3 linked regions of the Macaca mulatta genome follow. The protein of the gene in region 3 interacts with the protein of the main gene of each other region in a pairwise test. Links are inferred from orthologs where the notes say so. Each region holds a gene or a part of one and is shown on either strand. Other genes may lie near its edges.

Evidence for each region. The genes of interacting proteins can lie anywhere in the genome.
Region 1: the proteins of FHL3 (region 3) and FOSL2 interact in binary tests that used the Homo sapiens proteins (3 or more experiments, as listed by UniProt). The two-hybrid records come from large-scale screens. The link is inferred for Macaca mulatta from reciprocal best matches to the Homo sapiens genes FHL3 and FOSL2.
Region 2: the proteins of FHL3 (region 3) and ZNF512B interact in binary tests that used the Homo sapiens proteins (3 or more experiments, as listed by UniProt). The two-hybrid records come from large-scale screens. The link is inferred for Macaca mulatta from reciprocal best matches to the Homo sapiens genes FHL3 and ZNF512B.

What each region holds. Positions count from the first base shown.
Region 1 is NC_133418.1:96,585,733-96,589,472, forward strand, and holds the start of FOSL2 (fos-related antigen 2), read right to left. Parts: upstream 2,506-3,740; 5' UTR 2,083-2,505; coding exon 1,981-2,082; intron 1,261-1,980; exon of another isoform or gene 1,091-1,260; intron 176-1,090; exon of another isoform or gene 38-175; intron 1-37.
Region 2 is NC_133415.1:116,852,577-116,856,316, forward strand, and holds the start of ZNF512B (zinc finger protein 512B), read right to left. Parts: upstream 2,570-3,740; 5' UTR 2,453-2,569; intron 2,293-2,452; exon of another isoform or gene 2,151-2,292; intron 1,876-2,150; exon of another isoform or gene 1,802-1,875; 5' UTR 1,648-1,801; intron 669-1,647; 5' UTR 667-668; coding exon 546-666; intron 238-545; coding exon 95-237; intron 1-94. UniProt on the Homo sapiens protein: Involved in transcriptional regulation by repressing gene expression. Associates with the nucleosome remodeling and histone deacetylase (NuRD) complex, which promotes transcriptional repression by histone deacetylation and nucleosome remodeling.
Region 3 is NC_133406.1:202,788,916-202,792,655, forward strand, and holds the start of FHL3 (four and a half LIM domains protein 3), read left to right. Parts: upstream 1-1,017; 5' UTR 1,018-1,204; intron 1,205-1,491; exon of another isoform or gene 1,492-1,834; coding exon of another isoform or gene 1,835-1,976; intron 1,977-3,740. UniProt on the Homo sapiens protein: Recruited by SOX15 to FOXK1 promoters where it acts as a transcriptional coactivator of FOXK1.

The sequences.
Region 1 (3,740 bases), on a different chromosome or scaffold from region 3:
GCGGACAGGCCAAGAACCTCGTCTCAAGTGGCATTACCTTGCCAGTCCCTCTGGTTTGAAAGGCGTCTCACACACTGCCAGGTCGAATGGGCAGGCGTCTATGTGAGAACCCCGTGCACTGGTTATTACTAATTGCAAAATCCTCATGTGTTACAGCATGCTAGGAATTAGCCAACAGCTGCTTTTTGCTTCGGTAATGAGGCCCTATTACACTCTGCTGGACTGAGTTCTCTTCCTTCTTCCTAGCACTGGTTTCCTGTCTGATTTTCTTCCAAAACCGGGAATTGCCTCCGCTCACATCCTGGGCTCAAAGCCCTAGTGACACAGATTATTCAGTTGGGGCAATGATGTCCGGTCTGACATCCCGGCAGGCCCCAGGGTCTATGCTAAGCCAGGCAGTGAGATTGTAATACTCCAACGATAACTGCCAAAGACACATTAGGGAAAAGAACAGGGAAGAAATCAAAAGATCCCTTCCTGATTCCAGGGAGGAGGACAGGCGTTTGGGGTTTGTTGAACGGGAGACGGAGGGTACAGACTTCAGCCTATTCCCTCAGGATGTTTACATTCAATACAAACCACCAACGGGGCTGGGAAGCAAACATAACCAGTAACTTTTCGGATTTAAAACTCATCACCTTGGTGCTCAATACGAACGGTGCATTGACTGCACCCTCAATGAACAGACCAGGCTGTCTCTACTGCGGGTGCTTATAGGAGCACCATGGGAGGCAGAGGGAAGGCAGAAAAGCCATTTTGGGGACTCATCAGGTATAGGGAATCACTTTGGAACAAGGGATCCCTCATCAGATCCAAAAGAGAGCCATGTTCCATAAGACTTTCCAGCTGAATCTACCCCTCCCTGGAAGCCCACCCCAGCCCCTTCTAGAGGCCAAGGCCACCGCCTTATGGAGCATCCCTTGCTGCAGCCAACTGTGCTAGACTCCACAGATGCTGACCACCGTGGGCTTCATGTTGTATTGGGCCTGCGTTAACCCAGCTCTCTCTTGAGACAGAGCGGGTGGGGAGCCGCAGCAGAGGGCAGGCACGCCATCAGCACCCCCCCCCCCCCGCCCCGCAACAACAGTACCTTCCTGGTATTTATAAACACAGAGATCACACGCACAATCCCTCCACCGCAAACCAGTCCGGCTGCTTTAGAAACAAGTTGTTTTCTGCTTCCAGAACCACCCAGGAGCCTGTGTGATGTCTCTTCCCCCACCCGACCCCCTCTTCTCTCTGCCGGCCTCCTTGCTCCAGGTACCCCCAGACCCTCACGGTGCTCCTTCGTTCCTGCGGGGCAGTGCAGCCTCCTGTCCTCGACCCTTACAGAAGACGGGCGGGCAGGCGGGCATGCACTGGGCACACAGGCGGCATGAGCCAATCAAGGCTGGCTTCTTCCTTCCTGACCTTCGCACCTGATTCCCAGAGCGGCAGCCCTCGCCCTCGCTCCAGATTACTTGAAGGAGTCCAACCATGTTTCTGGATCCCCAACCCCTTTCAGAAAGGAGCTAAGACTGATGGAGAACGAGGAGGGGAGAGAGAGAGGGCTTTCCTGAAAGAATAGGGTCCCAGGATGTCGAAAGGTGCCAGTGGGTGCAAAGATTTTCTTGTCTGTCCACCATCCAGAAAGAAGACTCGGGGCGGGGGGCGAGGAGGGGCGGGCACTGGGGAGGGGGAGTAGTTCATGGGAGGAGGTAACAGGCTCTTCCTGGTAGGGGGCCTACAATTCCAGGAGTTTATCTGGGTAAAATATAATGTGGGAGGAAAAGGGCATGTTGTCTTTTCAAGCCCACTCCCCAATCCCCTGATGTAAAAGGGGGTGGTGGGGGAGGAGAGGACGAAAATCCAGAACTTAACAACGGTGGCCCGTAGGTATTTTTTCGCTAAGAAAAGGAAAAGAAAGCAAAAGAGGCAGTGGCGGCGAGAGGAGGGCAGGGGTCCGCCCGCGCCGCCAGGTGCACCGGGGCCCGCACCTACCTGCTGGCCGCCGCCGCCGCTGGAGTACGACTCGGCGTGCGCAGGAGAGCCGCTGCTGCCCCGGGACGAGGTGTCAAAGTTCCCGGGATAATCCTGGTACATGATCCGCGGTAGGGGCCGGAGGGGAAACAGGGTGTTTTTCTTCCCCCGCCCTCGCCGCGGCCGCGCACCGGCTGCTGCGCGCTCGTTCGTCCGCCGGCCGCGCCGCGGGCTCTGGGTTTCGCTCCTGGGTTTCTCCCCAACCGCGGCGGGCGAGGACAAGGAGGCGGCGACACCTCGGGAACAGCGTCCCCCGAGCGCCTCTTACGGCACTTCTTTCCGGCTCTGAGAACGCCGCGGGACCAGTTGTCCACCCGGTCCCTCCCTCTAAAAAGTCGGCGCGTCTCTCGGTCCCTCCCCTGCGCGCGCCCTCCCGCCCCCGCGCGCAGCCGGAGCTCAGCCGGGACCCACGGCCCAATCAAAAACTGGAAATTAAAAAGACTAGGAGCCCAGAGAGCCTGGCCTGCCAGCCCCCGGGACCCTCCGATTTCAGACAGGGCCAAAAAGGCGGAAAGAAAAGCTGTCCGCTGGGAGAAACTTCTGTTTCTTCCTTTCAGAAAAGGAGCCGGAGAATAAACTTCCCGTGGCCGACTCGCCGCCGGAGTTTCGGGGCGGCTCGGATACTTGACTGGGAGAAGGCGGCGTGCGCCCGTCCCGCGGCCCCGAGCGCGCCAGGGGGACAGCGGCTCGTGGGGCTCAAGCTGAGCTGGCGCTGAGAGGGACGCGGCCCTGCTCCCCGCTCCGGCGCCCGGACCTGCACCCCTTCCCCGGCGCCCGCTCCCGGACGGGCCCGCCTCGCCCGACCGCGCCTCTCCCTCTCCCTCTTTCTGTCCCCGCCGAGCGCCGCTCGTTCGCTCGCTCGCTGGTTCGCTCGAAGCCCTAGCGCTCTGCCCGAGATGAGTCACTACAATGGCACGAGTTCAACTCACACTCTTTATTCTCCAGCCCTGTACCATGTGGATTCACTCACGTCAACCCCAGACTCCACCTTGCAGGGAGGAGCGCACGAGGAGGCGGGGGGGGAGGAGGCCGCGGAGGAGGAAGAGGCGCAGGAGGGGAGGAGGCGGGCGCAGCTCTTCCCTCCCAGCCCCGGCTCCCGGCCGCGCTGACGCCAGCCGCGCACCCCGCGCGAGGAAGCCAGGCGGTGGCCCGGGCGGGAGCGGGCGGCCCGCACGGTTGGGGGGCGCCGAGGCAGCCCCGGCCCTCCCCCGCCCCCCGCTCACCCCCCGGGCCCAGCGCCCTTGGTCTGTTCCATTGGCGCACGTTGCCAAAGATGGTCATTTGCGTTAGAGGACGCGAGTGCGGGTTTCCTCGCTTTCGGGTGACGTGGAGGGAGAGGGATTCCCTCGCCCGCTCCCGAGTGCGCTGTGGCCTCTCCCCCGCCCCGGGAAGGGGCGCGGGGCGGGGCCCCGAGAGCGGCCGCGCGGTCTCGACTCCGGATTTTAGAAAATAATCACAGCCCTGACGGCGAGACGGGCGGTTCGGTGCGGCGCCACCGGGAGGCCGGGAGCTGGGCGCGCAGAGCCGCTCGCAGGGAGGGCGCGGCCGCGCGCGGTCGTAGGCGCCCTTCGCGGCGCCGCCGAGTGCAGCGGGCGCCCGGGGCGCGCAGGGTGCCCGCGCCGCCCTGCGGCCGGGTCTTGGCGGGGCGCGGCGCCGGGCGGGGCTGGCCTGCCTATTTTTCCCTCCGTGGCGGGCTGCCTACCGCTTCCCTTTTTGATTTT
Region 2 (3,740 bases), on a different chromosome or scaffold from region 3:
TGGTACCAGATGTGCAGAGGACAAATCAGGGCAGGGCAGTGGCTGGACAGGGAGACCCCAGCATGAGCCCCACCATGGCCCTGAGGGAGCTCACAGGAATGTCTCGGAGGGCCTGGTTCTCGGCTTTTGGCCGCCCCTTTTTCTTCCCTTCTGTCTTGTCGCTGGCTGGACTTCCTGGGTCAAAGCAGAGAGGGGCTTGGCCAGGCACTGTCTGTCCACCACGGACCACCGGCATCCCTGCAGCACATAACACAGCAAGGCTCGGAAGCTGTGTAGCACTGTCTACCACTGGGGGCTGCACAGGCCCACAGTGAGCGCCACTGTCCCAACACCAGGGCACCGGGAGCAGGGGCTGTGGCCAGCTGAGGACAAGAACCCAGGGCCCTGGGCGATGTCCAAGGCAACCCTTCCCCTGGTAAGGTCCTTGGGAACTCAAGGGGCCTAGCTGGGTACCTGGAGACAGGATGCCCGGGGCCGTGGCCCACTCCTACCCCTTGCTGCCCAGAACCATGCCCAGAATTGACTTTGGCCCTGACTCCTCTTACCCATCTTCGGTGGATCATGCAGCATTGGAAGTCGGACCTCCTTTCGACTGCCATCCTTCCCGGGACCACTCTTGCTGGACCCCGGGGGCCGACGGCCTCCAACGCAGAAAGGATCCGTCATCTCTGCGGAGCAAGTAGACAATCTGTGAGGCCTGACGGGCCCCACTCAGAACACGTGGTGAGGCTGCCCTGGAGCCCCGCCCTTGGCAGGTCCTCGCTGGTCAGGGAAGAGGGGCCTGCCCTCCTGTGGTTTTGTTCACGTGGGAAAAGCAAGTGATGGGGGGTTCTGACTTAGGGGAGGGGCTGCCAGCCAAGGTCTCCCCAGATAACCCAGGAGGCGTCATCAGTTTGGAAGGATCTAGTCCTGTCCTGAGACCCTCACCAGCTTCCAGATCCCCTTCCCAACACACAGCCCCATAGCTGCAGAGATGATGCTGGAGGTGATGCTGGGAGGGGTGTGCCCCCGGGAGAGGTGCCTTGTGCAGGAGGAAGGAGGCTGGCAACATTCCTCCAGGGGACAATTATGTCTCCGATGATGGCTGCTGGCTCACAAGCTGCCCGGGCCCAGCAGTGGGGGCACAGCTTCTCACTGGGGCCCTGGTACCCTCCCATGCAGACCTGATGCAATGCCAACCTACCCAGGCAGGTACCCTTGGAATCTTCTCTCCAGACACAGATGGAAAACAGCCAAGGTGGGCACTGAGGACCCCCAGCCCACTCCAGCCCTGCACCAGGCTTCTGTCTCTGTTCTGGCTGAGCTATCCCCCCTGACCCTCTTCACAGACTTGTCTGCGGGCCTGGCAGGCTGACCCGCCCCCAATCTCTCTCTGGAACTCTCAGTCCCCTGCCCACAGACCCATTACCACCACCTCAGCCAAACAAGTAGTGGAAGCACTAGCAGTGAAGGCCCAGGCTGCTGGCCAGAGAGAATGCCCTGCTGCCCAACGCTGGGCCCCCCCGAGGTCCTGTGCTGCTGGGAACCCCATCCTGAGAGCTGGGGAGCAGAGGAGACTCTGGGCTCAGCCCTGTGGAAAAGCCACGGAAAGAGGTGGGACAGGAAGCAGGGTGAGGGCTGGGTGGGCAGGTGGCCCCCTCCTGATACCTTCTAATTAACTTAGATCAGAGGGGATGGGAAGGGGCTGCTGTGTCCAGGAGGGCCAGAGAGCTGAGGTCAGAGGTCAGGACAGTCACTGCCCATTGCCAAGGGGGAGGCCAGTGTCCGGGCACAAAGTTCTCTGGAAGTCCTCACTTTGCAACTTTGAAAGGAGACAGGGTCCGCATGAGTCATCCCAGCACCTGACGACCCCGGTGGCCCCAATTTTTCTGAAGCCTGGGAGAAGAATTCAGAGTAGTGGGACCTGAGGCCAGGGCCGGCCTGGGAGGTAGAGACGCGACTGGCGCCCCGGGCGAGAAGGGGCTTCGGCCCTCCCGAGCCCAGCGGGCACACGGAGCCCTGGCGGGGAGAGGGGGCTCCGCCGCGCTGCGCGCAGGAGACGCCAGCAGCGGGTCCGCCGCGTAGGCCGTTCGGCCCGGGACCCCGGCCCAGGCTGGCGCGCGGGTGAGCGCGGCCAGGGACGCGCACCTGGGGCCAGCCTCGCCACCCACCTGTCACCTGGGGCCGGGAGCGGGCGCGGGCGCGGGGCGCGGGCCTCGGCCTGGCCGGGCAGGGCCGATCGCGGGCGCGGGGTGGGGGGGCGAAGGCAGTGAACCAAAATGGCGACTTTTTCTGGAGAAGGAGGAGGCAGGAAGACGGCGCCGGCGCGGGGCGCGGGGGCTCGGGCGCGGCGGGGGGCGGGGGGGCTCCGGGCCCGGCCCCCTCCTCGGCCTGCGCGCGGGGTCGAGATCCGGGGCGCGGTGGGCGCCGGGGCTGCGGCCAGATCGGGGCTGGGGCACGGCCGGGCGCTTACCTGCGGCGCCCAGCGGGGCTGCGGCCGGGCCGAGCCGGGCCGGGGTGGGGGGCGCGGGGCGCGGGGCGCGGGGCGGTGGGTCCGGGCGGCGCAGGCTGCGCGCCGCGCTGCGCACATGCGCGCTCCCGCCCCTCCCACCTTTGACAGTTTTACTGCGGGGGGGAGGGGGCGAACTCTCGCGTTATTCCCGCGGCCGCTCCGCGGCGGGGAGGGGGCGGGGAGGGGGCGGGGAGGGGGCCCGGCGCTGGCCTGTGGTCCCCCCCCCGCGGTTCCGCCCCCGTCGGCCGGGCCCGCAGTCCGGAGTAGCCAGTTCTGCCGTCCTGGGGCGCGGGGAGTTTTTTGGACAGTGGGGTAAACTGAGGCCCGATAGGGGCGCTGGGCACTGCCCGGAGTCCGGCGCGCACGGATTGAGGCGACCTGATTCCGCCGCATCCTGGCCCGCGCGGCGAGGGTGGTCTCTGGGCTCGAGTCCCTGACCTCTGGCCCTGGGGGCCGTGCACCGGCAAAGCAGGATTCAGCCTCTTTCCAGCCGGCCCTGAGACCACTTTTGCGACTGGCCCCTGGCGGTGCCTGGTGGCTTGAGGCCATGGAGCTTCACTGGGGTCACTGACCATTGGGTCAACCTTTCCCAGCTCTGGGGGCAGTGGTTCTGAACCAGTGCCAGGGCCTTCCCTGCCCCATATCCTGGGCTTCTGCAGGGGGCACTGGGGTCCGGTGTGGGCTGAGTGGTCTGGAGGCGACGGGGCACTGACACCACAGGACTTGAGAATTGAATGAGGCAGAGAAAGGTGTAGCTCTCCTAAAGAGGACGGAGGAGGCCCCACACGGGACTAGCACAGGACCCGCAAGAATCTCCCCCAGGAGAGTCCTGTCCTGTCCTGTCTGTCTGTCTGTCTGTCTGTCTGTCTGTCTTTCTTTCTCTTTTTCTTTCTTCTTTCTTTTTCTTTCTTTCTTTCCTTCCTTCGTTCTCTTCCTTCTCTTCCTTCCCTTCCCTCTCTTCCTTCCTTTTCTCCTTCCTTCCTTTTTCCTTCCCTCCCTTCTCTTCCCTCCCTCCCTTCTTCTTTCCTTCCCTCCCTCCCTCCCTTCCTTCTTCTTTCCTTCCCTCCCTCCCTCCCTTCCTTCTTCTTTCCTTCCTTCCTTCTCTTCTGTTCCCTCCCTCCCTTCCTCCCTTCCTTCCTTCTCTTGCTTTCCTTCCCTTCCTCCCTTCCTGCCTTTTCTCCTTCCTTCCTTCCCTTCCTTCTCTTCCCTCCCTCCCTTCCTTTCTTCTTCCTCCCTTCCTTCCCTCCCT
Region 3 (3,740 bases):
TGGGCACCTGAATCTTCACTCTAGACGCTAAGGTTATTCCAGGGTTGCTTTGTTGTCTCTTGTTTCCACTAACAGCACAGTAGAGCCTCCTGCCTCCCTCCCTCCCCCACCCCTTCCAGACCGAGGCTATTTATTCCTAGTGACAAGCCTGAGGATCCCAGGGGGGGTGGCCTCAAGGACCTGGAGGGGCCTCGTGTCCCTAGCAGGCGCCAGTCCTCCCTCACGGACACAGGGAGGAAGCCAGAGGTTTAGACACTGCAGAGGTCCCCTCCCCTCTCCTCCACCACCCCTGCAGTGCCCCATCCTCTCACACTCCTCACACCCCACCCTAGAAGCCCAAAGATCATGGGGCCAAGGATTAGGGTCTCTCCTGGGCCTCAAAGGTCAAAACTATTCCTGGGCACTGCGGAAACCCAGGCAAGACAGGACTTCTCAGCGTCAGGAGGCCACTGGAGGTGGGGAGGTGGTTACCCCTGTTTTTGCTACTCAAAGTTGTGGAGTAAAACCCTTTGGAGGTCAAGGCCCTGTGGTGGGGAGGGGTCCTCTCTTCGCCCCATGTTTTCAGAGAACACATTGGTGCCCGCTGACAGGCTCATGACAGTAGAGTCAAAACCTCCTCCTCCAGGCTGGATTAAGGCCAGGTTGAGTGTCACCCCTAAGGGTAAGGTGAGGGGGTGGGGAAATCCGAGGAGGCCACAGGACTCTTCCCCAGTGGACCATGGTCTGTGGGGTCTGATGTCCCCGGCCTGAGATAGAATACAACAGTCTCCCTCTGGCAGCTGGGGACGGGGGGGGGGGGGGGGGGGGGGGGTGGGAGGGGAGGAGAGCAGAGGCTGCGGGGAGGGGACAGGGGCGGGGTCCCGGCCGCCTGAAGGTTGGGAGAGCCAGGTTAGGCCGGGCAGGAGGAGGGGGCCGGGCCCGCTGGCGGCCGAAAGGGAGGTGGGGGCGGGGTCTGGCCCCCGCAGCGGGCTGGGGGGCCGGGGGCGGGGTCCGGGCGGGGCGGGCCCGCGCTCACTTCCTCGGGGAGGGGTTGGGGCCGCGCTCCCACTCGCCCACACGGTCCGTCTGCAGTCGGCAGCCTAGCCGGCAGCTCGCTCGGCCCCCGCTTGGCCCGGCCCGCAGGTAGGAGCCGCCGAGGGACGCGGCGCCCGGTTCCCCGCCCCGCCCGCGCCGCGCGCTCCCCGCTCCCGCCGCCCGCTTCGAGGTGAGCGCCCCGCCGACCCCGGCTCCCAGCCCCGGCAGTCCGCCCCCGCGCCCAGGCCGGGGAGCGAAAGGACCCGCGGAGGGCTGAGGCCAGCCGCGGCCCCGGCCCCCTGTACCCGCCAGGCTCTGGCCACAGGTGCCCGGGGCACGCCGAGCCCGGGAGAGCGCCCGCCCGGACTAGACCCCTCCGGGCTGCCGGGCGGGGCGGGGCGGGGGCGGGGGTGGCAGCGAGAGTTGGGCGGGGGAGGGGGCTAAGTTTGAAATAGAAAAGCCGGATAGAGACAGACCGACCAGAAGCGCTGGAGAAACTGAGGTTCTCGCAGAGCCCAGTGGAGCGAGAGACCAAGACAGGCAGGGACTCGAGGCACAGGAGGAGGCTACCGAGACCATTGAAACAAGGACACACCGGGCGTACAGTGTTACCGGTGGACAGACCCGAGACATGGGGGCCGTCCCAGGCTTTCTGGAGCATTTTCAGAAAACATACGTGGGACCCCAGCGAACACATTCCCTGGGGCCCTTCCCCAGGCCTTGGAGGTGCCCTGAGGCTTGGGCGTCATTGGCCTCAGGCTGAATCTGCTCTCTGAGGCCTGCAGAGACACTCAGAGACTAGAGACAGAGACACTCAGGCATGCAGAGGTGGCGAAAGAGACTTGGATATAGAGACAGAGAAAGGGATGTGGTGGGGATTGAGACATTCAGCCATGTAGACAAGAAGAGACCAAGACTTGAGATCCACAGAGGCATGGGCCGCCGGGGGACAGCCAGTCAAGGTACAGAGTCGTCCAAAAGCTAAAGACAGAAGCTGTGTCCAGACACAGAGATGCTGAGTGAAGCAGAGACAGACACCGGAGACTGAGACTTAGTGGGGGCAGAGAGACCTAGGTGGGCTGACAGCTTCCAGGACAGCCCCTGACTTACCCAGACCTGAACCATTGGGAAGTGAGGCTCTGGGGAAACAGAAACTCTGAGCCCACCAATCCCCCATGGGGCAGAGGCCCTGAGACAGTAAGTTCGAGATCAAGAAGAACCCCGTGGACACACACAGCCACCAAGACAGCCCCAACTTATTTTTAAACTCAAATCTTGGACAGGCTGCCTCTGCCCTGGGGGACCCAGGGTGAATGAACTGTTCCTCTCCTGTCCCCAGAGCAGCTGCGGGATCCTGCTCCCCAGCCCCCTTCCCTAGACTTCTCTGACTTCCAGGTCCCATGGGGGAGAGCAGAGCTTGGGGTTGGTGCCCGGTAGCAGAGGGTGAGGGTTGAGGGAGTTGAATTTCTCCCCTTAAGTCTCCTGTCAGCTTCTAGAAGGTGGGGGAGGGGTCTGTTCTGATCCTGACTCACAGCTGTGGGACCTGGCCGGGGTCCTCCTGGATAGTGGGCATGTTGGGGGTGGGGGACAGAAGAGTTGAATGGTTGGCATGGGGCATTGGAAAGGCTTCTGGGTGCCTTCCAATCACAGGGCTGGCAGCTGGGGAGAAGAGCCAGGCTCTAGTGCATCTCCTGTCCCCCTGCCCTTAAAAGCTGATCATCCCCTTCATCACCAGGGCAGTATTTTTAGGGAGACAGAAGAGCTCTGGCCTGGGAGGCAGGGGACCTGGGTCCTGATAACTGAGTGACCTCGGGCATAAGCCTGCTCTATTCCTGCCTCCTTGTGCTCATCTGTAAAATGGGGATGATACTCTGTCCTGCCTGCCTTTTGTGAGATCTGATGAGATGGTGGTGGGCATGGACTTTGTGAGTGGCAAAGCAGCATGCAGGTGTCTACACCTGTGGACCTGTGTGGGAGATCTCAAGAGTTATGCTTACTAGAGTCAGGCTGACTGGGCTGGAGCAACCACTGCCCCCACTGGTGTCCTCAGCAAGCCCCATGGGCCTGGGGCCTCCTATTCTCTCCCTGGGCCTAGGCTGAGAATGTCCAGGTCAAATTTCAGACAAGGCTGGGCACAGTGGTTCACGCCTGTAATCCCAGCACTTTAGAAGGCTGAGGCCAGAGGATCACCAGGAGTTCAAGACCAGCCTGGACAACATAGTGAGAACCCCATCTCTACAAAAAACAGAAAAACCTAGCTGGGCATGGTGGCATGTGGCTGTAGTCCCAACTACTCAGGAGGCTGAGGCAGGTGGCTTGCTTGAGCCCAGAGTAGGTTTTTTTTGTTTTGTTTTGTTTTTTTGAGATAGAGTTTTGCTGTTGTAACCCAGGATGGAGTGTAATGACATGATCTTAGCTTACTGCAGCCTTCACTTTCTTGGTTCAAGCAATTCTCCTGCCTCAGCCTCCTGAGTAGCTGGGATTACAGGCGCCTGCCACCATGCCCAGTTAATTTTTGTATTTTTAGCAGAGGTGGGTTTTCGCCATGTTGGCCAGGCTGGTCTTGAACTCCTGACCTCAGGTGATCCACCTGCCTTAGCCTCCCAAAGTGCTGGGATTATAGGCATTAGCCACCTCACCTGGCTGAGCCCAGAAGTTTAAGGCTGCCGTAAGCCATGATCGTGCCACTGCACTGCAGCCTTGGCAACAGAGTGAGACCCCAACTC